Linked DNA regions of Mus musculus. The protein of the gene in region 7 interacts with the protein of the main gene of each other region in a biochemical or structural test. Links are inferred from orthologs where the notes say so. Each region holds a gene or a part of one and is shown on either strand. Other genes may lie near its edges. The genes, in order: Rasa1, Fgr, Hck, Nck1, Fnbp4, Fyn and Khdrbs1.

Region 1 (3,772 bases), on a different chromosome or scaffold from region 7:
TATCTATCAGTTTGTTTTTATTCCCCATTACATTTATGCCTCAGCTATAAATCTTGCTGAAATAATTGTCTTAATTTTACATAATGAGTAAACAATCTTAACTTTCAAGAATATTGTGTAATCATGGAGCATTATAGTTTTTGTATGTTATTTGACTCCTAAGTTATTTATAAAACTTATAATCAAATTCTCTTTTTTTAAAAAGCTATTTAATCATTCAATAGAATCCTTGGTTTTTAACTATAAAATGTTTGGCTATTACTGATTATATAGTTTCTCTTTGAAATAACTGCAAATTATAATACAAAAATATTTTGTGGACTAAAAGTTTTAGAAATTAGTATTAGAAAACAAAGATATAGTTTGAATCTCAAATAAGGGTTTCATTTTTATATAATTATTGTCAAGCTAATGCCTTCTCATTTAATTCTTATTACCACACATTTATTTATAAAATAATGTGAGAAAATGAATACAATTAATAAAAAGGAAGAAAGTTATTTAATAGAAGTTAGTAGTATTGAAGTGTAAATTTTAGAAAATTTGTAAATTTCAACTCTGATCATCCAAGGTTGCAGTCTCTAACTTTATTTCATCTAATTGTTCTGAGACTCACTTAGATAGTCCATATGTTATCTTGGTTTCTCCAGAGAAGGTTTATTTTAAGAATTGGAACAGATTCAGGAGACTCATTTCTGTAATTTTAAGTACGGAAGCCTGGAGAGACCATGGAAGTCAGAGTACATCCCACTCTGAGGACAGAAGATAAGAATCAGCTCAGAGGAAACAGTGAGGCCAAGGGGGATAAGGAAAGGAAACATTCATCTTACTTTTATTCTGTTCAGACAGTTAGTGGACTGGATGATAACTACTCTATGGAGGAAAACAAGCTACACTAGCATAATGTATGAATTCAAATGTTGATTCATGTAGAATAGTCCAGAAGTAATGCTTCATATAGGTTGACATTCCGTTAACTTGACACATAAAATTAATCACCAAAGCCCATGAGATTGGAATTATTTTTCATTGTGACTTCACAATAATAGTGCTAACGTTTTGGGTATTAAAAACTTCAGGTACTTTAAAGTAACAACCCTAAAGTGATCAATTCTGGCTAAATAAAAATAGCTTCATTTGATGTCTGAATGAGCAAGCAAAACACATTGTGTTCTGATCTTTGACTAGGCATCTAGAACTTCTTGTAGTAAACAAGAAGATAAAACAATTCCATATAGGTGTGATGGTATGGTCCTGTTATCTTAGTAGCAGGGAAAGTGGTTCTAGAAAGATGTATTTGGTTAAATGATAAAATCAGCTTCCATTTATCTAGGAAAATCTTGGGTATTATTAAGGAGGACTTTAGAATTGAGATGGCATTAATTTTTGGCTTTTGGATATAGAGTGTTTTATAAAAGTTCTCCTTTGTATAAGCTTTGTTTTTTAAATTTGAGGAAAATAGAGTCATTTAGGCAAAAACGAAAGCATTTATGTGTGTGAGAGAAGGATTGATTTAATAGAACTAAGGTTTATAAGTATTGAGACCATACTGGAAGAATATTGAAAAATATATGAAGATACCTTATAGGTGTATGGTCAGTGGCAGCATCCAACCAGAAGGATATTTAGAGTCATTCATTTAATCCTGGAAGGAAAACTGCAAGGAATTCTTGGTGATTTTATATTGACATACAGCCAACTGAAGCCTCCTTGATGGTGTAGAGCCTGAAAACATCCAGGTAGCAAAAAGGAAACTAAGTAGTGCACATCCTCTCTGAACTACATAGCAGGGAAAAAAGCATAGATGCCTTTTAACCATGTCTGGGTGCTGTACTCTTTAAACAATAGGCATCTGAATCAAACAAATTTAAGATGTAATTATAGATGCTAATTAATGCTACTTTGTTTCCCTTTCTAAAGGAGATACATATAAATATAAATATATATGTTTTTATATTTTTCAATATTCTTCCAGTATGGGCTCAATACTTAATAAACCTTAGTTCTATTAAATCAATCCTCTCAAACACATATATAAATATGTATATATGTTTATATATACATATTTATATATATCTTAAGTGTATATTGCTTTTTATTACATCTGTCATACATATAATAAACAACATTGAAACTTGGAAACTTTAAAATTCAGTTTTCTTGGAACTACTTATAATACATAAGTAATTGTTTACTATTTAAAGGAATTTTAGTTTGAGTCTAATATAGCAAGTAGGTAGTAGATAGAGGAATTCTAATTTGAATATAATCCAGCAAAGCAGACTCTATTACTAAACCTATAATTAAATTGTACATATAATGAAATTAGGATTCAGGTTTACTGTCTTCAGTTTCACAAACAAAGATGCTAGAAACAGCATAGAACTTTGTTTTTTAAGTGTTTTTGCATATTTCAGATATAATATCTAATGGTTTAGGACTACTTAAATGTTCATTTTTAAGATAGTAATGGCATTTGCTATTGTAGTTTTTTAAAAGGAGATATGTTCATTGTTCACAATGAGTTAGAAGATGGATGGATGTGGGTTACCAATCTAAGAACAGATGAGCAAGGCCTTATTGTTGAAGACCTAGTGGAAGAGGTGGTAAGTTTCATTTGTTCTTCTAAATTTCAGATCCCAAGTTCTTTTTTTTTTTTTTTTTTTTTTCCATTTTTTATTAGGTATTTAACTCATTTACATTTAGATCCCAAGTTCTTTATAAAAGTTTAGAAGTCTGTTTTCTGGGTCATTAGACAGAAATAATTTTCTCTTGTCAAATGCTTAAATTCATCAAATGCAAAGAAATTTTAAGGTGTATTTGGTGTTAATAAATGATTATTTGTAAAGAAATAAAGTATGTTAGTATGTTATAATACATATCTGCCTTTGCACAAAGTACTTCAATATTTCTATCACTTGTACTTATTTCGATAATTTTTTTGTGCTTCTTTTCTTCATTAGGTATATCTGACTCAGAATTTTAAATAGTTGTATGTTTGGTATAATTTTTCAAATATGTGTATAATTCTAATAATCTTAGAAATTTTTAATTGTATTATTCATATATAACCCCAAAGTTCTACAGTTTGAATATTCCCCTTTGTTTTCTTTGCTATCATACATTATTATTTATCTTAGTACATAATTTAAATCATCAATATATTTAGCAAATTAGTACAAATTAGCACTCAAGCAATGTTCATGCTTTACAGACAATATTCAACACCACCAAAATGTATTAAACATTATAATTTTGGAATTTACATTTTCCTCTTAGATTTGTGTGGTAGAATAGAATGGCTTTCTGTGATCTTTTATGGAACCCCAGAACTATGTATGCCCTGTGTGGAAGATGGTAGAGTAATTTGTTTTGCTGCTAATTGTTTTGTCTGCTTATTCTGACAACTAGATCTTGATTCACATGCATAAAACATACTGAGGAAAGTTGGAAGGAGTTATGGAAATTATGTGATATATCCTGTATTCATAGTCACAAACATAATGCAAGATCTAGGATTATAACTTCCAGTTCTTTAAATAGCATTCCGAATTCTACATTGGAAGAGGTATACAGACAGGAACAATCAGATTCAAGCATCTTATAAATATGTTAGTTTTCCTATAAATTTTTAGATTTTGTTTATGTTAGACTTCCTTTTGCCTATTATACACTAATTTGAATTATGCACTCATTGAATGTTTGATTTTAGTCTTTTTAAATACTTAGTGAGGCCCTAATTAAGAGAAGTCCTTGTATACTTTTTTTTTTT
Region 2 (4,359 bases), about 3.3 Mb from region 7:
ACTTACCAAAAAGGAACTAAGACTGGGCAGCGGCAGGAAACCACCTCCTACAAGAGTTCCGGTTTCCCTTCAGAGCATGGGGCAGGGACAGTCCTGGGCTGAGGGGGCAAGTGGGAGTCTAAGGTGTGAAGGCATCACCATCCCTCACCGCATACACTCAGAGCCCTGACTGTGGGCTTTCAGGATCCTCCACCGTCCTTTCACTGAGCACTGATACCTCCTTCTCCCTCACAGAGGCTCTCATGGCTCACTAACTTCCTCTCATTTTACACCATCCTTTTTTGAGAGTCACAGCTGGTCCAGTCCTGACACCATCTTTGTACTATCCTAGCTCTTCCCCCGACACGGTCCTTAAGGTGTCAGCTGAGTTTCCCCCATTTGTGGTGGGTAAAACTGGGTCTATCTGGCCTGACACAGCAGTCTGAACCTTAAATCCCAGCACTTGGGAGACAGAGGTAGGTGGATCTTTGTGAGTTTGAGACCATCCTGGTCTGTACAATGAGTCCCAGGCTAACCGGAGTTACACAGTGAGACCCGGTCTTAAAAAGACAGAGCCTCATGATGGTGATGGTGGTGCATGCCTTTAATCCCAACACTCAAGAGGCAGAGGCAGGCGGATCTCTGTGAGTTTTGAGATCAACCTGGTCTACAGAGTTCCAGGGTAGCCAAGGTTACACAGAGAAACCCTGCCTCGAATATCCAGGAAGAGAGAGAGAGAGAGAGAGAGAGAGAGAGAGAGAGAGACCCCTGCTGTCTGTGGTGGCCCAAGCCTTTAATCTCATCCCTTAGTCTTGAGGGAGTGGGATGGGGCAGTCTGCTTTCCTTACCATCGGCTGACCCAATGTGCTGTGTGGAAGAGACTTGGCTCTTCCTTCCTCATCTCTGTCTTCCCTGTCCCTTACCCAGCCTGTCAGGGCTGGTTACGTCCCTTGTCACTTCAACCTTAGGTAGCTTCCGAGCAGCCCCCACCCCCCACCCCCAATAACCACACAAAAGCAAGCACCCAGGCGTGAACACATTCACTTCAAGCCCACAGCACACTGGGGAGCACCCTCACACAATCTCACTCACAGCTTCAAGCCTGCTGGGGAGCAGGAGCTGATATAGGCAGGAGCCCCCCTCCACCTCCCCCTCTCTTGGGTCCACACAGCTTGGCTACCCCCTCCACCTTCCCACTACAAATGGAAGGATGCTCATTGCATCCAATTCTAGACTACAAAAGGCTTGCTTGTAGGGTGGCCACCTGGAGAGTGGGGTACAGATGCGAACCCTGCTAACCTTCTTGGAATGGGCCCTAGTAAACGTGACATTTAGTAGATGCCAACTGTGTGCTGGTTCTCAGAGGCCCTGTCAGCGAAGCTTTCTGGTCCTCCATGCTTTGAGAAGGCAAAGAACTGTGTAGAGCCAGCTGGCCTGGATCTGATAGAACTTCATCTGCCTTCTCCTCCATTCTCCCCTCTCCTCCCCGCCCCACCCCTTCCCATTCTATTTCTGTTTCCCCCACCCCACCTGTCTTTCTGCTTATATCGCTCAAGGTGGTCTTGAACTCGTGACAACCTCCCTACCTCTGTTTGCTGGATGCAAGGATTATTATAGGCATGAGCCACTAGGCACAGCTTTGGTATGGGGAGGGCTAGTTTCTTCCCCAAAGTTCCAATGAGAAAAGCAAAAGTCCAGAGAAAGCTAGCTCTCCTTGAGGTCTGCATAGCAATTAAAGGCCCATTCTTGCTAAGAGAACATGTCTCTGAGGCAGGAGACCCCTGAACACCAAGCGGCACCCTCTCACTCCCTCTGTGGTGCAACACACCCGGATCAAGGACCAAAAATGGGGACGAAGGCAGGGACCAAAGTTGGCTGCCAGCCTTGAGCCTGCAGCGGCCCAAAGCCAACTGGCCTCACTGCCCTGTGTTGCCATGGAAACAGCCCCTGCGGGCATTGGCGGTCAAAAGCAGGATTTCCGTCGGGGCTGCCAGCAATTCCCGGATCCCGACAGGGACGCAAACCTTGACCGCCACTGCGGATAGGGAAAAGCACCCAGGGAGGTCTGATGCCCCAGGGTGAGGTCTTCCCCAGGAAACCCAGATCCACGCCTCCAGCTGCTGGAAGGAATCCCCAGGGTGTCTGGAACCCGCTGCCCCACTGATGTAGCTAGAGGGTCTGGGGGGAGTTTGCAGACTCCCCGCTTCCCTCTGAGGAATCCAGATAGCCGGCCTCTGAGACCCCAGAACTGCACTCTGGACTCCGAGTTCTGCAGAAGTCACTCTCCTAGACCCCCTTCTCGGGAACTCGCGACCGATTTCCTCAGTATCCCCTCCCCCTTTCCAGTTTCCCCACCTACTACCCCTCTCTCATACCCCCTCAGCTTCTTTCCTTTTTCTCCTCCTGAAAGCCTCTCAGGGCTCTCCCTAGACGCTTTTGGGGGATCCCACAGTGCCTTCCTGTACTTTCAGCCCTCTCCCCAAATTTTATCAAATTTACAACACAGTTTCCCTCTCTTTCCCCATTTAGACTTTTAGGGGGAATTTTTGGTCTGCCTTCGCCGTACTGCCTCGGCCTTCTCCTAGGTTTTTATCAGCCTTTTCCAGCTTTCCTTAGTTTTCCTTCTTCATTTCCTTTCTGAATGGGATCCCCACCCCCATCTCCCGCTTTCAACTTGCTCAGCTCTCAAAGTTCAGGTTTACCCCCAAATCTTCCCTCCAAGGTGAGGACGGTTAGGGGCGGGGCAACATTTGCCCTACCAGCCCCCACCGGGTTTGGCCGCCTACCTGGTCTCAAGGGAGCCAGCTGCGGGTGACTCGATCTGGGGCGAGCCAACCCTAACTTCCAGCAACCAGGAGAGGCGATGTGGGGGGTAAAGTGAGGTGCTACCCGCCTCTGCCCCTACTACCTACTCTGGGGAGGGAGGAGGAAGCCGTCTCGGACTTCTCTTATTTTGGTGACTGCGGAGGAGGAGGCGGCAGCCAGAGAAGTCGAAGTCACGCCTCAGCCCCTAGACTGCTGCCCAAAGCCAGGAGGGGCCCCCAGATCCAAAGTCCGCTGGCTCCCACTTCCCGCTGTGGATGGGCTCTCCCAGCGCTGTCCCTGCGCCCCAGCTCCTTCCCAAAGGTTCCGGCCAAAGGGACCTGTCCCTTTAGTTACTAGAGTGGGATACCAAGGGGGTGGGGGGTTGGCCATCCCAAAGGCTCCCACTCCCCACTCATCTCCTAGGTAGGAAAACACAGAGCCAGGTCAGGATAACTTGGCCCAAGTTCACATAGCCTGTAGCCTTTACACTACTGTCACTACATTTGCCAGGGATCTTTTGCCTGTCACTTATACCCTGCCGCCTCATCTTTAGGAACTGGGCGGTGGAGATAAGGCCCTTGCCTTTGGGTACCTGTTTTTCACAACAATCAGCTCCCATCAGGCTACTGCCACACACAAGTTTTAGAGAAGCTGAGGAGAATCCTTAATCAATCACAGTGTCTCTAGGAGAGCCCTCCCTATACTCCCCCAGCCCGATACCCACCCTCCCTTTAAAACCAAGAGTTATTACCAGTATTACCTCTCTAAAACCAAGGTGCACTGAGACCCAGGAAATCCCCCTGCCTGGGGAGGGAGAGCTAGGGTTGAATTGGAAATGTTTGTGGGAGGGTGAGGGCTTAAGGCATGGAAGATTCAAGTGGGTGTCCCCGGGGCTATACTGATGATAGGCGATGACGATGCGTGACTGGGTTTAGAATCAACAGCTCGGACACATTATGCAGTCAGGTGTGCTTCTGTGTACAGACAGGGGTGTAGGGGGCTGTGTGTGAGCGCCCTAAAGTACAAGTTCAGGAGGATCATGGTGACACACACGGTGTCAGCAAGTGATGGATGCAGATAGGAATGCTTCTCTCAATGAGCCATGGCAAACACCTTTAACTCCAGCACTTGGGAGGCTGAGGCAAGCAGATCTTTGTTGAGTTTGAGGCCAGCCTGGTCTATGGAGTGAGTTCCAAAACAACCAAGGCTACACAAAGAAACTCTGTCTCAAAAAACCAAATAAAAGTGCTTCTCTCTTAGGAAAATATGAAGTGGGTGTAGGAGGAAGAAAGGAAATGTAGTGGAGGTTCAGGGACTGTGGGAGGGTGGCTTTACCCTGCCTGGATAGCACTGCCACCATTATAGAGCATCCTCTAAGTTGGCCTTGGCCATTGATCCATGTGTGCAATTAACAAATAAATGTATATCGTGGCCAATGGGAGCCCAGCCATAGGGAGCCCAGATACAAAAGGAACAGCCGCACCAGCTGCACTCCCAGCTACTCAAGAGGATGCTTGAGCCCTGTGGATTGGAGGACAGCCAAAGAGGAGTAGTGATTCTCTACCTGAGAGGAGG
Region 3 (4,323 bases), on a different chromosome or scaffold from region 7:
CTAGTGATGCCATCAATTCAGAGTTATCAAAGAAAGGCTTTCATATATAAGCAAAGATATACAGGAAGTCAGTATTATCTACAGTTCAGGCATCTGCCAGGATTTCAGGATACATCCCTTGTTGACTGAAGTTTTATTTTGTTACAGACAGGGTCTCATAGCCCAGGCTGGCCCCAAACTCTTGCTATAGCTAAAGATGACCTTGAATTTTTGCTCCTCCTGCCTCTACTCCCAAGTTCTGGGGTTGCAGGTGTGCTCCTACATCGGGCTCTGCTATAATCTTTACACCACAGAGGACACATTTGTTTATGGAGACACAGACTGGAAGGATTGGTTTTCAACAGCAGTGTCTCCTATAGAGGTAGAAAGAGAGAACTGAGAGGGAACCAAACCAGGGACTTTGATTTTACCCATTACACCTAGTCATTTTACTTTTTAAAGTCTGAAGCAAACATGCCCCCACACTGACATTAGTGAATTAGTTAATTTTGGGTGGTGAGTTCCTGGGACATGGGCACATATTCCACTAAACAGCACCCTTCCTCCTCCAGAGAAGGGGCATGGTGAGAAGGGCACTAGAGAGCAACTGCTCTCTTGTGAGGCCTCTCTGGGTCAGTCCTAGGCTTGGGCAGTGATTCTCAAAGTGAGATTTCTGGGCAGCATCAGCAGCCCGGAGGTTGCCAGTTCTCAGTATCTTTCCCTAGGCCTCCCTTTGGTGGTTGCCCTAGCAATGCACATTTTAACACCCTTTCCTGGTGATGCTGGTGTGAGAATCTCTCGGGCTGGACGGGAACAGTGGAAAGAACATCTAATAGGGTTCTGAAAGTTTTCCTTCAGCCATCTTTCTCTCTTCTCCGCCCCTCTTTCAGATTGTGTGTGTGTGTGTGTGTGTGTGTGTGTGTGTGTGAGAGAGAGAGAGAGAGAGAGAGAGAGAGAGAGATCACATGTGTGCAGGTGCCTACAAGACCAAGCCCAAAAGACGGTATGAGATTCCCTGGAGCTAGAGTTATAGGCAGCTGTGAGGTGTTTCTGTTGTTGTGAGCGATCGGTGAGAACTTAGCTAGCATCCTTGGAAAGAGCAGTGAGTGCTCTTAGATGCAGAGTCACCTCTTGGGCTCCCTTTCCTTCAGTTTAATGTCACCTTCAAAAGTAAGGGAACTTCCACAAGCCTAAATCCGAAATGCTCTAAAATCGGAGACATTTTGGGCACCGACAGGATGGTCCAAGTGGGAAAGTCCACACCTGATCTGAGGCTATCAATTGATGTAAAAATGGAGGAGCCATTAAAAATGTGTCATTAGTTATCTCTGAGGGATGAGAATGAAATGTGTGAAAATCTCGGGCCAGGAAGATAGCCCAGTTGGTAAAGTGAGTACCTTGCAAACAGGGGGAACTGAGTTACAACCCCCAGAACTCCTGAAAAAAGTCAGCTGGGAGGAAGGACCCTTGGGACCCACTAATCAGCCGGCCTCACCTACCCAGCAAAAGCCCCAGGCCGATGATAGACCCTGTCTCCAAAAGCAAGGTGGCCTTTGCTTGAAGAACAACATAGAGTCCTCTGGCCTCCACGTGTGTAGGAACCCCAGAGTACACACCAACCAGTGAACACATACAGAAGCACGTGTAACATACACAAATGTCTCTTTAAGACCTAATTTTCACTCCAGGATGCCTCGCTGTGCACTTGACATACAGAATTCTGCCACACTCGGAAATCCTAAACCCCTCTGATCAGGTGTAGTTTGGATAGGGAACATTCAACCTGTCCTCTTACCATCTCCATCCTGCAGCTATGCAAACAGAGGCACAGACAAACCAGGCTCTCTCTCCAGTACCCAGCAGCACTGCTCCCCTTCTCTGGACAACTCAGCTTCAGATGAATGTAAAACAGCCCATTTTACAGAGTTGGAAGCTGGAATCCAGAGAGTAGCCAGTGACATGCCCCAGTGTCACACAGAGGAGATGGTGGTAGATTGTGGTCTTTGTGTAAGAGGTTCTGGAGTTGGATGTACGCCTGTTAGGGGTTCAGCTGGGAAGGCAGGGGAAGATGTAAAAGAGGGGACTCAGATATACACCTATAGCCAGGCCTGGGTGTGGCAGGCATGGGCTTGTCTTGGCCGGGCTGTTCCTTTAGCCATGGCTGCTGTCTACCTGCGTGACCTGCCACCCACCCACCATCAATGGGAACTGAACGGGCCTTTCCCTCCCCTCCAGCTTCTTCTTCTTGGTGTGTGTGTGTGTGTGTGTGTGTGTGTGTGCAGAAGGGGAACCTGGTTAGACAGAGAAGCCTCAGCTCAGCACTGCCATTCCCCTGCCTGAGCTTCCTCTATCTAGGGCTATCCCAGGGTCGCCCTGGGTGGCGGCAATTCGCCTCACCTGGCCACCTGGGTACCCTCCACCTTTCGTAGACTGCGCATCCCACCGCCGGGGATCGGTTGCTCCTAGGACGGGTTCTTCCTTCCTCGGCACCCCCACAGCTCGCCCAGGATCTCAGATCCCTGGAGCCCGAGGTCTGCACGTTCTCGGGGACGGGGGTGTGTCCCATTCCCGCCCTCTCACCCCGCACTCACCTGGGCGCCCGCCCTTCGCTTCGTGGGCAGCCCGGATCCTCGCAGCTAGACCGACCCCCCAGCGCTGCGGCCCCTGGTGGCCCCGGACTTCAGAGCCCGGAGCAAGCGACGAAGACTTGCGGGCTACAGAGGCTGCGTTGGCGCTCGGAACGGGTCAGAGCCCCCTTCACGGGCGACTTTGGTCCCCTCCCACCCGTCTGAGAGCCGCCGCGGGGAGTGCAAGCTGGGAGCCGCAACCCAGTGGCGCTCACTGGCCATCTGGGCGCCTTAGCCGCACCCTGGGTGATGCAAACCCCGCCCCCAAATACCCCGACTCCGCCCTCTAAGAGCCTAACTCCCACTCTGGCTCTCTTGTCTCCTGCTCTAAATTCACCTCCAAAGAATTTCAGCATTTCTTTGCTAACCCTGTCCTCAAGGGCGCTAACCAGTCCTTGAAGGACTTACTCAGACACCAAGGTTTGACCCGCCCTCCCAAGATTCCCAGTCCCCCTCCCCCACTAGTGCGTTTAAGCCCCCCATGATGTAATGAGCCTGTCCAAAGGATTCTAAACCCTATCCCCAGAGATTTTGGACCCCTACCTAAGAGACCAAATACCCTTGGATTCCCTAAAGAATTGTAATATTTTACGTTTATTGTTTGACTGGTTGATTGTTTCCGTGTATGTGTGTAAGTACCCTGGAGCCTCAGAGCGGTGTAGAGGTTAGAGAACAATTTGGAGGACTAGGATCTTACCTTCCACCTTCCGAGTTCCGGGGACTGAACTCAAGCAGCCACGCTTGGCACCAGGCGTCTTTACCTGCAAAACCATCTGCCTCCTCCTGGGGAAAGATTTTCAATCTCACTTTCTATTCTGTTCCCAGTCCTAACCCCTACAAATTCTCTAGATTTGTAATCAAATTTTCTGAAAGGGTTTTAATCTCGAGAGCGCGCGCGCGCGCGCTTGTGTGTTCTAGAGAATGGAATCCAGGGCCTCTCTCTCCGTAGTTTGTACTACAGCCACCAGCCCCCTACGAGACCTTAATCCCATAGGTCCTAAATCCTGCACTGGAGCAATCAACCGATCCTATCCTTCCTTTCAAAGATCCTAAACCAGCCGCAGAAGGAATGTAGCTCCCTTTAAGTCTAACCACGCCCTGATAAGTCTAACCTCTCCCTCTAGGATTCTGGTGGGTCTCCACCGCCCTTCCACTTCGGTCCCTCCCACATGCAGCGGTTTTCCCTCCACCCGCCCACCCACCGCTTATTCAAACTCCATGCAAAGTCTGGCGCCCGCGGGAGTTCTTTGCCTTATTCTGGGCTGAATATGGGACTGCTCAGAGGACCTCCCAAGTTGAAGAGAGGAAGTCTTACTGGCAGACCACTGAGGTCCTGTTTGCATGGCATATTCCACTCAGCCTGAGACATCATTCAAAACGACAGGGACCAACACTCTCTAAACTGCAACACACACCTGCAGAAACGTACAGGAGTCCTCCCTCCTCTAGCCAGGCCAGACCACCAGTATCTCTCATTCATTCGCTTACGCGTGCATGTAGGCATGCGTTTAGCAGTACTATGTTTTAAGTATGAATTCTGAGCGCGAGCGGTGTTAGCAGCTCTAGAGTTCCACCCGCTAGGCCCAGTAGCAGTTCTGACAACCAGAGCTGCCTCCTACACAGCCTGGTCCCCAGCCCACGTAGAAATCCCAGTCACCCAACACTAATGTGTTTGCTATGTATTTTAATATATTCATGCCCTATTTCTAAAAATAGA
Region 4 (4,572 bases), on a different chromosome or scaffold from region 7:
CATCACAAAACACACCGCTCTGTGCGCTAACTTAAAAAGAAAGAGGGCGTGCGAAACAAACAAACAAAGACTCAGTTTAACATAGGTAACAGAAAATCTTGACAACCTTCACTCAAATCACAATTAAATTTCTAGGGACTGGAAAGATGTCTCCAGTTAAATTCAAGTATGGTTCTTGCAAAAGATCCAAGGCTGATTCCCTACAACAGGAGGCTTGTGACCCCCTGTAAGTATCTGACACTTTCTCCTGGCCTCCCTTTTCAGGCACCTGCCTCTTGTGCACATATCATGCCCTCAACATACATACAAGCACACACTTTTTAAAAATGTTTAACAATATGTAAAACAATGTAACTCTGGATGGGTGTCAAGATGCCTCTGTAGTTAAAGGTACCTACAGCCAAGCCTAAAAACCTGAGTTCACTTCATGGGACCTCTGTGGGGGACAGAGAACTGACCCCTCACAAGCTGTCCTGACTCTGGGTGTAGAAAATATAATAACCAATCACTTTTTTAAAAAATAGAACTTTAGACTGATGATACACCTCAAAGGTTTATGAGAAGCCATTGGTCTCACCCCAAAACTGAGGGAAGGCAAAAGAGACAGGAGAGGGAAAGAGAAGAGAGGGCGGGGAAGGGAGGAAGGAAATTAAGGAAGAAGGAAAGCTTAGCGAACTTTTCCTTTGCAAAGTTAGTAGTTTGCAGAGAATGTTTCTGTATTAGGACAGATGGCTCAGTGGTTAAGAGCTCTTGCAGAGGATCTCTGTTCTGTCCCCAGAGTCCACAGCACATGTCGTACAAAACACTACAAAACACATAAAATAAAAATAAACCCTTAAAAGACTGGAATCTAGAGGAAAGATATTACTAGTGTCTAAACAGTGAAAAATATGTTCAAAGTATTATTTTAAGATCAGCACAGGCAGAACACATTTGAGATCCTCCAGGCAGAAAATCCAGTTAGAGTTACTGAGTAGTTCAGAAACTGAAAAACAATATATAAGAATACAAAGGTAAGATTTTTTTTTTAAAGAAAACAACTACAAAAAAACAGTACAATGTTAAGGTTTATGTCTGGGTTCCTGAAAGCATGCTACTAATGTATCGCTAATGAAAGACAGCTTGGAGGCGTGGGGCATCAGTTGTGAAGGGAAGACTTTGAAGTTCTATTTCCTTGATAGGTTAAAGTGAGAATCAGGCAGGCCTGTCAAATTGTCGTCAAACTGTTGGATTTGTTAAATGCTCAGTTCACGTTTCCTCCAATTTTACTTAACAGTGAAATAATCATTTGATTTTCTGGCATTGAAAGCATCCATTCTTCCACATTGCCAGAGTTAATTCATTTTTTTTCAAGTTCTCCTGAGAAGGAATTTATTTACAATAATAATCACAACAAGCCTTGAACTCTAGAACGAAGTTCTCAAATTAGAAAATCAGCAGCATAAACTATCACTCAATGTTTAATAAGGCAATACATTAACGTGTCGACTTATTAATACACGGATCTGTTGGGCTTGGAAACCTAAACAATTTAAAATGCTTGCTGGGGAGGCAAATCTTTTCAAACATAATGCTCATACATACAGCGGAGACATCAACACAATGTACGCTTTAGTTACTCTAGCCAATTCCTACAGAAGTTTTCCCAGAGAAAGCACCACATGTGGCCACGATGAAAAAAAAGTACTAATCAACCAACGCATACGCTTTGACTTAACTATCACGATGTGAAGAGAATATCTATTTAAAAACAAGACTGAAAATGATCAATCAAAACTTTCTCCTTGGACTATTTCTCTGTTCATGTTGTGACGTCGCTAAAGGCTGAAAGCACACAATTGATTTCCAGGTGCTTAAGAAACCGTTAAGGCTGATTGATCATCATCAAGCTACCAAAGCTTTTGAAAATGGAACGCTTCTTGCAAAACTTGACCCGTTTTTTTGGCCGAACCCTGGATTCTCACTGCTCCCCACCCAAGATGGGGTCAGGAAGTTTTCTTCATCTCGTTCTTTCCTAACTCCTGTGAATTCTTTCCTAACTAAGGGCAGTATTTTTCTTCGGGTGACTTCAGCTCGGCTCGACGTTAACCGGTCATGTTACGGTCCTCAACCCTGAACAAAAAACCAGCTTCCTTCCAACCCAGCTGTTAACACTGAACCGACCTAGCACGGAAACCCGTACGACAACAGTACGAAACCAACCCAGAGGACTGCTTTTCCTGGACCAACCCCACCTCAACAGCCCCCGGACACCCACATCTCTCCTGCTCCGGAACGGGAGGGGGAGGGGAGGGCGCGCCCCGAGGATGTCCCCCCTCTCGGCTTCCTCAGGCTGGCGGCTGGAGGTGAGAGCGCCCTTCCTGCCAGCCTACCGTCCCGGCCTCGGACACCGACACAGACCGCCGACAGGGCTTTCTGCGGAGAACCGCCGAGGCAGCGCGCCGCACACTTGCCTGCCCGCCTCCCCGACCGGCGCTCGCAGCTCAGGCCAGAGGCCGCGGGGTCACCGGGCTGCACCGCGGACACCCGAGCTCCGCCGAGCGGCCTCCCCGCCCCCTCCGCTCCGCTCCGCCGCCAGCAGACGGCGCCCCCGGGCCAACTTCGCCGGGGAAAGAGGAAGCGACTAGAGACTAGCAGGCAGAGCGGACCGACCGGGAGACCGAAAGGACTGTGCGTGTGTCCGCACGCGAGCGAGGCCGTCTCACCTTCCCTCCGCCGAGCCCTCGGCTCCAGTCACCTGAGGACCGCACCGGGACGCCACCGCGGCTGCCCGGATGCCGTTACCGCACGAGGCCTGTGCTGCGCCGCCGCGTAGCTCTCGGAGAGGGGCGGGGCGCGCGCAACCGGTGGGCGGACCGTTGCGGGCAGGAAACCCGCTCCACGCCCAATCTAATAGGCTCCATCGCCTCCTGCGCCCGCCCCTGACGCTTCAGCGGAATGCGCCGCTCCGGGATTGGGCGAGCGGGCTTGTCAATCAAGCGCGGGCCCTGAGTGGTCCCTGAGCTGAGACTGCGCGGCCTTTGGACAGAAGGTGAGGAGCGCCGGGCCCCACCGCCCTGTTCTCCCCTAGCCTCCTCGGTGGCTGCTTACTTTCCGCCTCTCCCACTGCTACTAAAACCTGTCATTCATTTTAAATCGCTCATTAATGTCGAACAGCGGTCCCGAGTTCAACCCAGACTACTCTGGTGCCTGCATCTGAAAGGGCCGACCAGCTGCAGATCTTAGGGACAGGGAGCGACAAAGAAAATGAAGCCTCGGGGGAAAAATGTAAGATGTTTGTTAATGAAAACCACAACCAAAATAAGCTTTGCGAGCAACTTCCGAGTGCCCTGGCGCGTGGGTAGCCTTCATTCCCGGCTTCCAGTCCTGTGAAAAGGACAGTTACTTCTGCCCTAGGGGTGAGTATGGCAGTGGCACAGTCCCAGCCACCTGCCAAGGAAGGCATCAATAAATCGGCTCTCCTTCCTAACTTGCCTTACAGCGACTCATAACCTGCCTCACTATTTCCCAATCACCTTTGTTGCTTAGTGTGGGTGTGGCACCTAAAAGAAACATTCTAGGTTAGGTAATTTTATGGAAACACGAGTTTTTGCCTCCAGCGTAGCTGCACCCATATACCTAGATTGCAAAGTCTATTAAAAGAACTGTTTCACCCACGCCCACCTCGTGCCTAGCACATCATCCTCAACAATCGAGGAATTAATACAGCTTCCTTTCATCTTTTAAAAATTCATTTTTATTCTTTGTGTGTTCGAGTGTTTGGTGTACTTGTGTTATACTTGTGTATAATTTTGCTGCCCATGGAGGTCAAATGAGGGTATAGGATCTTCTGGAACTGGAGTTACAGATGGTTTTGAACCACCCTGTGGGTGCTGGGAATCAAACTCAGGCCCCTTGGAAGACCAGCGCTCTTAATCACTGAATCTCAGCCCCTTCCTTTAGCTATACTACAAGCCCTACCTGTAAATCCTAAAAAGTTGTTTTCTGCTTTTAACTTAATTGCATGTTAATAAATACATGGGTGGCCTGCCCTAGGTAAAATACAAGTTACCTGTAGCCCCTTTTAATCCTGAGTTTAGTTGAGAAAAGTAGAACATAAAACTGGGGAAAGGATACTCTGCCTATTGTTAGTATCAAAAGTAAGTAATGCAAATTATATATTTAAAAACATACATACCGAAGAGAAGGGGGTGATGCATGCAGAAGCAGGTGGATCGAGGCCAGCCTGGTCTACAGATTGAGTGTGAGTTCCAGGACAGCCAGGGCTACCCAGAGAAACCCTGTCTCAAAAAACAAAAAGACAAATATATATATATATATATATATATGCAGAGACAGGTTCAAGTTCTGCAAGTTCAAGGCCACCCTGGTTTATGTAGCAAATCCTAGGACAGTCAAGGCTACATAGAGAGATGCTATCTCAAAAGCAAAAACATACAGGCAGCTGACCCCCATTAACTCCAAAGGAGGATATTTGGGGTAATAAAGGAAATAAGAATCCTCCATATCTTAAGACCTTTCCCAGTAAGCTATTGACAGCTTATATAGTTAGAATGACCTAGTTTAGTGTCC
Region 5 (3,772 bases), on a different chromosome or scaffold from region 7:
CTGCTGGCCTCTGTAGGTATCTGAACACATATGGCACACAGACACATGAATAAAATAAAACTTCTATAAAATTAAGTAAGTTTTTAATCTCAGCACATTGGAGACAGAGCCAGGAGGATTTTTGATGCTCTGTATAGTAAGCTCTAGGCCAACCACGGCTACAAGTAAATCAAAAATAAGACAACAACAAAATGCCATGCACACCCAAACCAGCTGCATTACCTCAGTCTGTAAGAGCAGCATGTGAAAGTTGGAGATGGACTGCCTATTAATCCCTAGGAATTCAAATTTACTTGTCAGGGTATTTGCCAGTTCTCCAATCTGAAACTGTAACAGAGAACAGAAAAATTAAACCCAGAACTCCAGCACTCCTTCCTATACTATGCATAGTCTCCCATTTATTATTACTGGTAGTAGGATTTATTGTCTACAGACAGATGATTGTAACTAGTTATGTTTAGGCCTCTAATTTATAAAAAAAAAAAATCACATAAAAGAATGGATAAAATGTTTTTTGGTTGCTGGGATTTGAACTTCGGACCTTTGGAAGAGCAGTCGGGGGCTCTTACCCACTGAGCCATCTCACCAGCCCTAAAATGTTTATTTATGTACGCACACATGGATTTCAACAGCGGAACAAAGATCCTAATCCTAAACAATCAAATTTACACAAAGTGGTGGTTTTGAGAGGGTGGAATAATAAGGAGTAAAAACTTTCATCCATAAAACTGGGAATCTAATGTACAGCATGGAGACTATAATTAATAATACCATATTGTAGGAGCTGGAGAGATGGCTTAGCAGTTAAGAGCACTTTTCGTTTGTTTACCACAAGACTCCTGGAGACTGGAGCCAGGACATGAGACTTGTAAGCCCACGTCTTTAGCCAGTGAGTCAACTTGTCTGTCTCCATACCAGAGTGTTCCAATGACAGCTTAGGTACAAGAAGGAAAAATCACTATGTGAGTGGCTGGAGAGATGGCTCAGCGGTTAAGAGCACTGGTTGCTCTTCCAGAGGTCCTGAGCTCAAATCCCAGCAACCACATGGTGGCTCAGAACCATCTGTAATGGAATCTGACGCCCTCTTTTGGTGTGTGTGAAGAGTGTTAACTCTGTACTCTTAACCAATCAATCAATCTACAAAAACCAACCCAACCATACTGTACAGGTGAAATTTGTTCAGATCAAATATTCTAACACCTCTACACAAAGAAAGTACGGTAACAACTTATTAGCGGGCTCTGTAATAATATCAGTATCTCTCTATATTTTATATCTATATAGAGATAAAGCAAACCATCTAAATGGGACACATGGCAAATGTGTCAATTATACCTCAAAGAGCTGCATGAAGGACATCTTAATTGATATTCTACTATCACCTACTAGCCCCATGCAGAAGCCTTAAAATTCCCCTTCCCAGGACTGCCAGGGCTATACAGAGAAACCCTGTTTCGAAAAACCAAAATAAATAAATAAATAAATAAATAAATAATCCCCTTCCACTCCTTCTACATGGCTGCATAAAACACTAGTGATCAAACATCTTTAAAAATACTATGCTACAGGGTTTTTGTTTTTTTTTTTTAACACAACAAATTAAATTTAAAGAGCCACATTGAGCCAACCAGACTAAAAATTTTAATTAACGCCAGGCGGTGGTGGCAGCACTTGGGAGGCAGAGGCAGGCGGATTTCTGAGTTCGAGGCCAGCCTGGTCTACAGAGTGAGTTCCAGGACAGCCAGGGCTATACAGAGGAACCCTGTCTCAAAAAACCAAAACCAAACCAAAACAAAACAAAACAAAAAACCCAAAATTGACAAATCTGCCTATACTCAAGATGCATATACATTTTTGGTCATATTCTTCAATGCACTGTAAGCCAGGTGTGGTAGTAAAAGCCAATAATCCTCTCAAGAAGTCTAAGCTCTGGAGGAGTAAGTTCTAAGACTGCCTGAGCTAGAGAATGTCTTAAAAGAACCATTCAGGCAATCATATACATATGATATGCACAAATCCTAACATAGTGCTAGGTATTATAAGCAGCCTAGAAGGATTTAACATGTATGAAGGATGTGCATGTACAAATGCTGCTTTGCTTTACAACAAAGACCCAAACAGTTCAGATTTGATTCTATCTCATGGGATCCTGGCTATAAATCATTTGTGAACCAGAAGATTTTATTATGAGGTTACAAATGCAATTGGAAACAAATTTGTCTTTGTTTAAAGACAAGTATTTCACATAGGAACTAAATCTTTTCCTCTCTTTAGTACTTATAAATCTGAGAAGCCTATATCAGTAGATTCATTCTTTCCAGTCAAAGCTTAATCTCAAAGAAAGTAAATATTAATAATTTTCACATAATTTCTCAGCATCAAAGTTTTTATTTCAGCCTTAAATGGAATCTTTTAATCTAACAAAGTGAAAGCCTTAGGTCTGGACATAGTAGAGTTTATGATTTGCAAACAGTATTTAACTGCAGTTTAATGACTGAACCTATAATCCTGGCACTCAGGAGACTGAGACAGCAGGAGCCCGAGGTTCAGGGCAGCATCAGTAGATGCAGCAGACCCAGACCCACCCCGAGCCAAGTCCCACACTCCGTACTTTCAGGTCCTGCTCTTCCTCCACTTTAGGTGCTAGCTGGACTTTGATCTTCTCAGAAGACTCTTCTACTTCCGTTTCTTTGTCTGAAATTTCATCTATTTTTTCGGAATCTTCAGCACCAATTGCTGCAAAACAAAAACTCCATGAAATTAAGTCAAAACAATTGAGGTCCAAAGCATTTTATTGTCTTTGCAGGACACACCTGAAAAACAGTATTAGCACTCTTTCTTGCCCACTTTGTCCATCAGCAACCCCACTGCTCTACTGCTGCATTTACCTTATGGTTTCTGTCTTCCTTCTCTCTTTTCTTTCAAAAACACTTCAATTTCTACAAAAGCTAAATATCAAACTTGGAATGAGCAGGATTCTTGACTAAATTGGGTGAAACAGGAAGACAAGCTTTTAGAACCAGAGGCGCCAAAGTCAGTTGCCAGGCATGGGGAGAGGTGGGATGCCTGTTATTCTAGCACTTAGGAAAAATAAGGATCCAAGTTTCAGGCCAGTATGGACTACAAAGTAATTTCCTGCCTCCAAAACCTCACCACCAGCAGTCATGGTGGCACACTTTAGCATTTGGACAGAGATGAGTTCAAGGCCAGCCTGGTCTACATAGGCCAGTACCAGGTCACCCACAGCTACAGAGACATCTCAAAAACAAACAATCAATCAAACATCCCAACCCCATCCAACTCATTCAGCCTTCCTGAAGTGGCTAAGGTCTACAGCCATCAAGATCCATATTGCTGGTTGCCAGGCGTGGTGGCGCACGCCTTTAATCCCAGCACTCGGGAGGCAGAGGCAGGTGGATTTCTGGTTCGAGGCCAGCCTGGTCTAGAGTGAGTACCAGGACAGCCAAGGCTACACAGAGAAACCCTGTCTCGAAAAATCATAACAAACAAACAAACAAAACAAAAATAAAGATTCATATAGTTGGGCTGCAGAGATGGCTCAGTGGTTAAGAACACTGACTGCTCTTCCAGGGGTACTGAGGTCAATTCTCAGCAACCACATGGTAGCTCACAACCATCTGTAATGGGGTCTGATGCTCTCTTTTGTTGTGTCTTAAGACAGCAATAGTGTACTCATATATACATTAGAAAAAAAAAGATTCATATAGTTTTGTACACCTATAGTACCAGCTATTCTGGATGGGAACAGAGG
Region 6 (3,772 bases), on a different chromosome or scaffold from region 7:
TCCAAGAGCAAAGTCAACTGTATTGCTAACATCTCTGAACACTGGCAGGATAGCAAAAGTTGTCTTTGTCCTGTTACAGAGTGGAGATATATCTGTCTCTTTCGTATGTGTGTGTGTGTGTGTGTGTGTGTGTGCGCGTGCGCATATGGTTTGTAATAATTATTAATCAGAATAGTCACATAAATGAGGCCTGCAGAGCAGACTGGGGCTCCGATGATTGGTGTGGCTAATGCTTGCACGTTTACCAGGTGCCTACTCACTTTCCATCCGTGATTGGGATGATATGAAAGGGGACCACGTCAAACATTATAAAATCCGCAAGCTTGACAATGGTGGATACTATATCACAACGCGGGCCCAGTTTGAAACACTTCAGCAACTGGTACAGCATTACTCAGGTAACCCCAGTGCCGTCACCGTCACCGTCACCGTCACCGGTTAGAAACTGGAGGCTGTGAGGGAGGAGGAGGAGATACGGGACAGAGTCACTAGGTAGAGCTGTCCTCTGCCCGCCCACCCCCACAGTCAGACAGACAGATGGAGTCCGGGGTTCTGTTGCTCTTCTGCCCCAGATAGGATTTTCCTCCTGTGTTTTCCAGAAGTTCCCCCCAGTAGAAGGCAGTAGTTTAAATCTTGAAAGCTGTATTTGTATATTAATTTTCATAATAAAAATCCTTGCACGTTCTTTACCTTTGCCTTCATTGCCATGCAGAACTGTGAGAGGAAAGGAGGAAAGGAGCTGTCCCTAGGCAGGCTCAGACGGCCCCCAGGGAGCCTCACTTGATCCTTCACCGCAGCAGAGGGAAGCACATTCTTGCACTCTGTAGAAGAAAATCTGTGCTGCTGCAGGGTTCCCTCCGCCCCGCCCCCACTCCCCCCCCCCCCCCAGCTTGCCTGCTGAGGCCACAGCTCCCTTACCTCCATCTCCTGGACTTTCTTGGTTTTTTGTTTGTTTGTTTGTTTGTTTTTGTTTTTTCAATTTTTAAAGACTGGGTCTCGCTATAGCCCTGGTGGCCTCCAACTCAGAAATCCCCCTGCCTCTGCCTCCTACTGCTGAGACTGAAGGTGTGCGCCACCATACCCGGCTACTGTGATGACTTTAAACAAAGATTAGACTTTGTCTTTACGTCCCATAATCCTGTTCTTCTGCTGTTCTTGGCCATTCAGTTATTGGGTGTATGTGCGTTCATGTGCGTCTTATGTAAATATGTAGCTCTATGCGCAGTGTTTAGTGTGTGCCGCTTGCCCTCCTTGGTTAACAAGTGTGTCCTGCTAAACAATGCATGTGTACATGACCCCTCCTTTTTTCCAAGGTAAGGTCTCACTTGTAGCCCTAGGGAGCCCAGTATCCACTTTGTAGCCCAGGGTGGACTTTCAGAGTTTGAGCAATCCTCTAGTGTCAGCATCCCAAATGCTGGGATTACGGACGGAGCCACCACACCCTTTTTACCACCATTGAAAAATACCTGTGCTGTTTCTGCCACACCAAAGAGACTTGTAGCCTTTTAAAAATAACAATACGAAATGCCTATGTACTGATTCTGGCCACTGATGAGCAGTTAAGAAATTAACAGTGGCTGAGCCAGTGATTTGGGCATTAGCTCTCTCACTCTATGTGGATTCTAATGAAATACTGAGAGAAATGGAGCAGAAAACCTCCTTGCACTTCAGTGATATACACAAAACGCCTGTATGTTATAAGGATTTTTTTCAAATGCTGAAATATATTTCATTACAGGCAAACATCCGCAGGGTCCCCAGGGTTTGGATCATTTGAAAATAGTGTGCTGGAAAGGGCACCTTAATAACATCATAAAGCTGAAGGAGGGAGCCGATGTGAAGCACCCTAGACGAGTTTTAATCTCAGGGAAAAAAATCCATCTTGAGTTAGATTTGTTTTTATATTGGCTTTTCCTCTTTCCTCTTCTCTCTTGCACATAGAATGCCTTTGAAATACCGACACATAAATAATTTCCTGCCTAAACATCTCAGAAACAGATTTAAAAAAAAAAAAAAAGGAATGAAAAGTAAGTTAAGAATTCCCAGAAAAGAGACAGCCACAGTTTGTGCTTAGAATCCAAGAGGCTTCCAGGGACGTAGGGGGCTTTGGCCCCCTCGGTTCAGGGTCTCTCTGGCCCCCATCTTTCCCTGCCTGCTTACTCTCTGTTGGCGTTTAGTCAGTCTCCCCATACCTTTGCTAGATTCTCAAAGGAATATTCTTTTCAAAAAGAAGGGGTGGGGGAAGACCAAGTTCCCAGTAACCTGAATGGAAGCTACTGTTTCCCTGCTTTTCATGTCACTGAGTTTCTGTGAATGTTGTTAATTTCCATTACTTCTTTAAATCCAGACTCCTAAATTATGCATAGAAAGCTGTTTAAAAGGTCGTGTTTTTGTTTTTGTTTGCTTTTAGTGGAAAATTGCAAAAAAGCAATGTGAGCACACAGGAGCAGTAGAGTCAGAAGGACTGCAGAGAATGTGACATCCTCTCCCGCTGCAGGTGTCCTCCTGAGACCGGCTAGCTCTAACAGACCAGAGGTCTGTGGGAGGCTCCTATGCCAAAGTCACATTTTAAACAGACATTTACCAGGGAGAGTCCCTCAGTCCCTAGATACCGGAAGGGACAGGGACAGTTTTTATTTTTATATGTACTTTTTGAAAGTAGCAAGGGCATTTTGAATTTGAGGCAGTGAATACGAGTTCATTAGACTAAAGTACACAGAAGCCAAAGCAGGCCGTGCCTGTGAGCAGCGAGCATGCCCGATGGTACAGCGGTGTCCATATCTGACACATCCTCATCTGCCTCCAGCAAATGTTTGCTCATGTGCGTCGAATCTCCTGTGGCCTGTGCGTGTTGTCGTTACATATTCTGCTCTTCTCTCCCTCACCGCTGCCCTGCTCCTCCAGAGAGAGCCGCAGGTCTCTGCTGCCGCCTAGTAGTTCCCTGTCACAAAGGGATGCCAAGGCTTACCGATCTGTCTGTCAAAACCAAAGATGTCTGGGAAATCCCTCGAGAATCCCTGCAGTTGATCAAGAGACTGGGAAATGGGCAGTTTGGGGAAGTATGGATGGGTATGCTGAGATTCAATTACTCTCTTATTAGCTTCCTCGTTTGGAAAATCCCAAACATCAAGATGGAAGGTGGAAATAAAGATATTTTATGATCAGGACAAACAGACAGTTTGAATTATTCAACTTTTATTTGGAAAAATTTGGAATCTCTCAAAGAGAGCTAGAAACAGGCAAGAACTACAGCTGTCTCCAGTTGTGCTACAGTGTTCCAACCTGGCTCAATGTTGCCGTCAGGGAAGTCACCTTCCATCTTTCCTAGTGCATGCATGATTATGGATTATAAGGACTGTTTTCTTTATTAATTCCCTTTCCTGTAGAGAAAGCTGATGGTTTGTGTTTTAACTTAACTGTGGTTTCATCAAGTTGTACCCCACAAACTTCTGGATTGGCTAAAGATGCTTGGGAAGTTGCACGTGACTCGTTGTTTCTGGAGAAGAAGCTGGGGCAGGGGTGTTTCGCTGAAGTGTGGCTTGGTAAGGCAGAGGGCACATTCTGTTTTGGCTGCATCTCAAAGCCAATGAAAAGGACAGTTTTGAACAGAAATGTGTATGTGGCCGTTGGGACAAAGACCCTTAACCTTTGTGACTAGATGGGCTCAAGCCACCCAGGTTTGCAGAAGTCAGTGGCACCTCGCTGTGTTCACCTGTCCTATTTCATGTGGCTCATTAAACACCTGCAGGACAGGAACCCAGTGATGGTGACG
Region 7 (3,772 bases):
CTGGGATTATAATTGTGTCACCATACCCTGGCGTTTGCATAGTGCTAAGATCAAACCCAGAGATACATGCATGCAAGGCTAACACTCTATTAACTGTGGCACATCTCTAACTCTAAAACTGACTTCAAAATAATAATATACATTTAAGGACCTAAACCAGAAGATTCTCTGGGCTCAATCGTGGATCACAGCACCTCAGACAGGTCTACTTTCTGAATAAATATTAACCACAATGAATTTTAATTCTAAGAGCATATCATATAGTCAAGCTTGATGATGGCCTATGACTTCAATCACAGCACTTGGGAGACAGAAGCAGGTGGATCTCTTTTGAGTTTCAGATGGGCTTCATCTACGTAGCAGGGCTACATAGTGATTAATATCTACTTTGGTTTTTTTGAGACAGGGGTGATTAATATTCTTTTTTATTTTTTAAGATTTATTTATTATATGTAAGTACACTGTAGCTGTCTTCAGACACACCAGAAGAGGGCATCAGATCCCATTACAGATTGTTGTGAGCCACCATGTGGCTACTGGGATTTGAACTTAGGACCTCTGGAAGAGCAGTTGGTGCTCTTAATCTCTGAGCCATATCGCCAGCCCAACATTCTTTTTAAAAAAAAGAAAAAAGGCAACTGGGGATGAATGAGATGGCTTAGTAGGTAAACACACCAGCTGAGTAAGACTGACATTCTGAGTTCAATCCCCAAGACCAACATGATAGGATTCCTACTACTTTGTCATTTAACTAACATATCCATGCTCACACACTCTCCCCCCACATACACACACACACCACCACCACCACCACCACCCACAAATGGATGGATGAATAGATATGTGATTTTTTTTTTAAATGCTAGGACTTCCCAAATTAAAAGCCCCAAAGTTTCAGCAGGACTGCAGCACCTGACTCTGGTCAGACTGCTAAGATCGAGAGCTCCATACCTGATGTACTTCTAAACCCTAACCCTCCTCAGTCAGTCAAATCTGTATTTATTTCCTTTTCAACTATTGTTACCTGGGAACAGGTGGAGGAGGAGGGGCAGCTCCTCGTCCTCTCACAGATACCCCACGACCACGAGAGGGTTCAGGTACTCCGTTCAAGTAGGACAATTCTAGAAACTGCTCCTGACAGATATCATCCATCATATCCTGGGAATTAAAGACAACAAAGAATACGTGTAACATCTGCTCCTCCTCCTAAAAGTCACAAGGCCCACCAAGCCTTGGATCTTAAGAAGAGTCTTGAAGCTGGCAATAATGGCACAGATCTTGATCCCAGCACTCCTGGATGTAGACACAAGCGGATCTCTATGACACAGAGGCCAGCCTAGTCTCTGGTTTTGAGTTCTAGGACAGCTAGAACTACACAGTGAGATGAGACCCTATCTCAAAATATCACTCCCAAAAACAGTAGCCTTGAAAGCCTAGATAAAGTCGCAAGTCAAAATTCTTTGATGTCCAATTACACTATCAGTTCTTTGAGGAAAATCTTGGCAGCAGACCCTTACTAATAAATATAGTTCTTCAGAAAGAAGTTCCTGCCTAACTCTCCCTTGATCAATTTCTTCCTCTACACACAAAACTTACTCAAGAAGCCGGGCAGTGGTGGCACACACCTTTAATCCCAGCACTTTGGAGGCAGGGGCAGGTGGATTTCTGAGTTCCAGGCCATCCTGGCCTACAGAGTGAGTTCCAGGACAGCCAGGGCTATACAAAGAAACCCTGTCTTAAAAACAAAACAAAACAAAACAAAACACAACACAATACAACCAAAAAACCCCAAACAAACCACTTACTCAAGAAAAGCCAAACAACCTATAACTCACTGCCTGGATTAGTCTCAAATACATTCTTTGCAAACATTTCCTTTTCCTAGACTAGAAGACACTACCATTAATGAAGTTCTATATATTGGTTGCTATATAAACAAGCTTTGTATGGATTTTTCAGTTTAACTGTCAAAATAACCCTGCCAAGATCTCATTGTACAATAGTGAACTCTGCTCCTTACAAGACATGCTAAGGCCAGGAGTAAAGCTAGGTGGTAGAATATATCCCTAGTCTACACACAAAGCCCCGAGTAAAATTCTCAATGTGGCCACAAAGGGCAAAGGGGAAGATCCTCTTTTCTGTTGTTGCCAAGCCATACCTCTTTCCCAAATACCATGTTGTTCTCACCGTCCAGGTATTAAATACCATTTTATGTTTGTTTTTCTCATAGTTGAGATCTTTAAGAGCCATTGTGCATGCATGTATATGCCACAGCAGGTGTGTGGACATCAGAAGACAACTCGTAGAGTGCCTTTCCATCTTCACATGAGCTGTGAGGCTTGAACCCAGTAATCCTGCTTCTGTGTCAAATGCTTTCTACTCTACATACAGAGAACATAAAATCCTCCCATTTCCCACAAGAAACATTCAACCTTAAACCAGATGAACTGTTATATATTTTGAACACTACTTTAAGAATGACATAATTAGGGCTGGAGAGACGGCTCAGCAGTTAAGAGCAACGACTGTTCTTCCAGAGGTCCTGAGTTCAATTCCCAGCAACCACATGGTGGCTCATAACCATCTGTAATGGGATCTGATGCCCTCTTCTGGTATGTCTGAAAGCTATAGTGTACTCATATAAATAAAATAAATAAATCTTTAAAAAAAAGAAAAGAAAAAAAAAGAATGACATAATTAGAGCAATGTCCCTGGCAACTCTCCACTTTCCTTGACCTTACATATCATTGCTATTTCAATTAGATAGTTAAGTACGAATGCCCAACTCATTCCTCAGGAGTCTCCAACTGTCACATTTGTCAATTAAGATAAACTTCAGTCTACTATAAAGTATGTTGTACATATAAATTAATTTTGAGGGGCTGGAGACATAGCTTAGTAGGTAGAGTGCTTGCCTAACATGCATAAACAAGCCCAGGGTTGGATACAGAACACACAAAATCAAATGTAGCAGAGCAAGCCTTTAATAATACCAATCGAGAGGCATAAAGATCAATGAAGTCAAGGGCACCCTCTGTTACTCAGCAAATTCAAGGCAAGCCTGGGCAACAATAAAGGTTCTCAACAAAACAAAAACCAGGGTTTATTTAAACTGGAGTCGCAGCCTCCAGAAACCTCATTATGTATTTGGAAAAAATCCAAAGCTGGAGGGAGGGGGATTCCCAAACATTAAAGAACAGTTCAGATAACTGATATTTTACCTGTTCCATAATCAGGTGACTCTTAAGAATTATATACCATTTTCTAAGCATGATTAAAGATTAATCAGAGCACTTAGGAGACAGAGGCAAACAGAGCTCTGCAAGCTGGAGACCAGCCTAGTCTACACAATGAGTTCTAGGCCTGGCAGAGATACACAATGAGACCCTATATCGAATAAAGAAAACAAAAACCAACAACAAAAAACAACAAAGAAAATTATATGCCATCAATAGTCAAGCCTGTGACATACACCTCTTCTAAATCAGACTCTGAATAAACAAATCTCCACCAGAAGAGCCCTTCAGTATGCCTCATTAGAAATTAACTCATTAACACTGGATGTTGTCAGCTTCTGGTGGTTAACTCTACATTTAAGAGTCTAGGACACAGACTTCTTAACTGCAGACTTACCTTAGTCATTTTCCTAATACCATCTCCTGATTGCACAGTAATACCAGAATAGTGAACTGAATGAAGACCTTATTAAATCTGTTAAGCAAACTGTTAACACATCAGGGACTCAAGAGACTGACAACAAATAGCAGTATAC

What was found.
Region 1: the proteins of Khdrbs1 (region 7) and Rasa1 form a complex in vitro, tested with the Homo sapiens proteins (2 studies listed by BioGRID). The link is inferred for Mus musculus from reciprocal best matches to the Homo sapiens genes KHDRBS1 and RASA1.
Region 2: of the proteins of Khdrbs1 (region 7) and Fgr, one has a biochemical effect on the other in vitro, tested with the Homo sapiens proteins (2 studies listed by BioGRID, with this or other methods). The link is inferred for Mus musculus from reciprocal best matches to the Homo sapiens genes KHDRBS1 and FGR.
Region 3: the proteins of Khdrbs1 (region 7) and Hck interact in a biophysical measurement, tested with the Homo sapiens proteins (2 studies listed by BioGRID and IntAct, with this or other methods). The link is inferred for Mus musculus from reciprocal best matches to the Homo sapiens genes KHDRBS1 and HCK.
Region 4: the proteins of Khdrbs1 (region 7) and Nck1 form a complex in vitro, tested with the Homo sapiens proteins (3 studies listed by BioGRID, with this or other methods). The link is inferred for Mus musculus from reciprocal best matches to the Homo sapiens genes KHDRBS1 and NCK1.
Region 5: the proteins of Khdrbs1 (region 7) and Fnbp4 form a complex in vitro, tested with the Homo sapiens proteins (2 studies listed by BioGRID and IntAct, with this or other methods). The link is inferred for Mus musculus from reciprocal best matches to the Homo sapiens genes KHDRBS1 and FNBP4.
Region 6: the proteins of Khdrbs1 (region 7) and Fyn form a complex in vitro, tested with the Homo sapiens proteins (4 studies listed by BioGRID and IntAct, with this or other methods). The link is inferred for Mus musculus from reciprocal best matches to the Homo sapiens genes KHDRBS1 and FYN.

Annotation. Positions count from the first base shown.
Region 1 is NC_000079.6:85,251,260-85,255,031, reverse strand, and holds part of Rasa1 (ras GTPase-activating protein 1), read left to right. Parts: intron 1-2,488; coding exon 2,489-2,606; intron 2,607-3,772. UniProt on the Homo sapiens protein: Inhibitory regulator of the Ras-cyclic AMP pathway. Stimulates the GTPase of normal but not oncogenic Ras p21; this stimulation may be further increased in the presence of NCK1.
Region 2 is NC_000070.6:132,972,677-132,977,035, reverse strand, and holds the start of Fgr (tyrosine-protein kinase Fgr), read right to left. Parts: upstream 2,942-4,359; 5' UTR 2,766-2,941; intron 297-2,765; exon of another isoform or gene 7-296; intron 1-6. UniProt on the Homo sapiens protein: Non-receptor tyrosine-protein kinase that transmits signals from cell surface receptors devoid of kinase activity and contributes to the regulation of immune responses, including neutrophil, monocyte, macrophage and mast cell functions, cytoskeleton remodeling in response to extracellular stimuli, phagocytosis, cell adhesion and migration.
Region 3 is NC_000068.7:153,107,002-153,111,324, reverse strand, and holds the start of Hck (tyrosine-protein kinase HCK), read right to left. Parts: upstream 2,858-4,323; 5' UTR 2,633-2,857; coding exon 2,571-2,632; intron 1-2,570. UniProt on the Homo sapiens protein: Non-receptor tyrosine-protein kinase found in hematopoietic cells that transmits signals from cell surface receptors and plays an important role in the regulation of innate immune responses, including neutrophil, monocyte, macrophage and mast cell functions, phagocytosis, cell survival and proliferation, cell adhesion and migration.
Region 4 is NC_000075.6:100,543,290-100,547,861, forward strand, and holds the start of Nck1 (cytoplasmic protein NCK1), read right to left. Parts: upstream 2,846-4,572; 5' UTR 2,816-2,845; coding exon of another isoform or gene 2,168-2,815; intron 1-2,167. Other genes in the region: Gm46139 (synapsin-1-like), read left to right, coding at 2,168-2,815. UniProt on the Homo sapiens protein: Adapter protein which associates with tyrosine-phosphorylated growth factor receptors, such as KDR and PDGFRB, or their cellular substrates. Maintains low levels of EIF2S1 phosphorylation by promoting its dephosphorylation by PP1.
Region 5 is NC_000068.7:90,762,385-90,766,156, reverse strand, and holds part of Fnbp4 (formin-binding protein 4), read right to left. Parts: intron 2,737-3,772; coding exon 2,612-2,736; intron 328-2,611; coding exon 223-327; intron 1-222.
Region 6 is NC_000076.6:39,526,533-39,530,304, forward strand, and holds part of Fyn (tyrosine-protein kinase Fyn), read left to right. Parts: intron 1-248; coding exon 249-398; intron 399-2,904; coding exon 2,905-3,069; intron 3,070-3,386; coding exon of another isoform or gene 3,387-3,542; intron 3,543-3,772. UniProt on the Homo sapiens protein: Non-receptor tyrosine-protein kinase that plays a role in many biological processes including regulation of cell growth and survival, cell adhesion, integrin-mediated signaling, cytoskeletal remodeling, cell motility, immune response and axon guidance.
Region 7 is NC_000070.6:129,721,621-129,725,392, forward strand, and holds part of Khdrbs1 (KH domain-containing, RNA-binding, signal transduction-associated protein 1), read right to left. Parts: intron 1,159-3,772; coding exon 1,025-1,158; intron 1-1,024. UniProt on the Homo sapiens protein: Recruited and tyrosine phosphorylated by several receptor systems, for example the T-cell, leptin and insulin receptors. Once phosphorylated, functions as an adapter protein in signal transduction cascades by binding to SH2 and SH3 domain-containing proteins.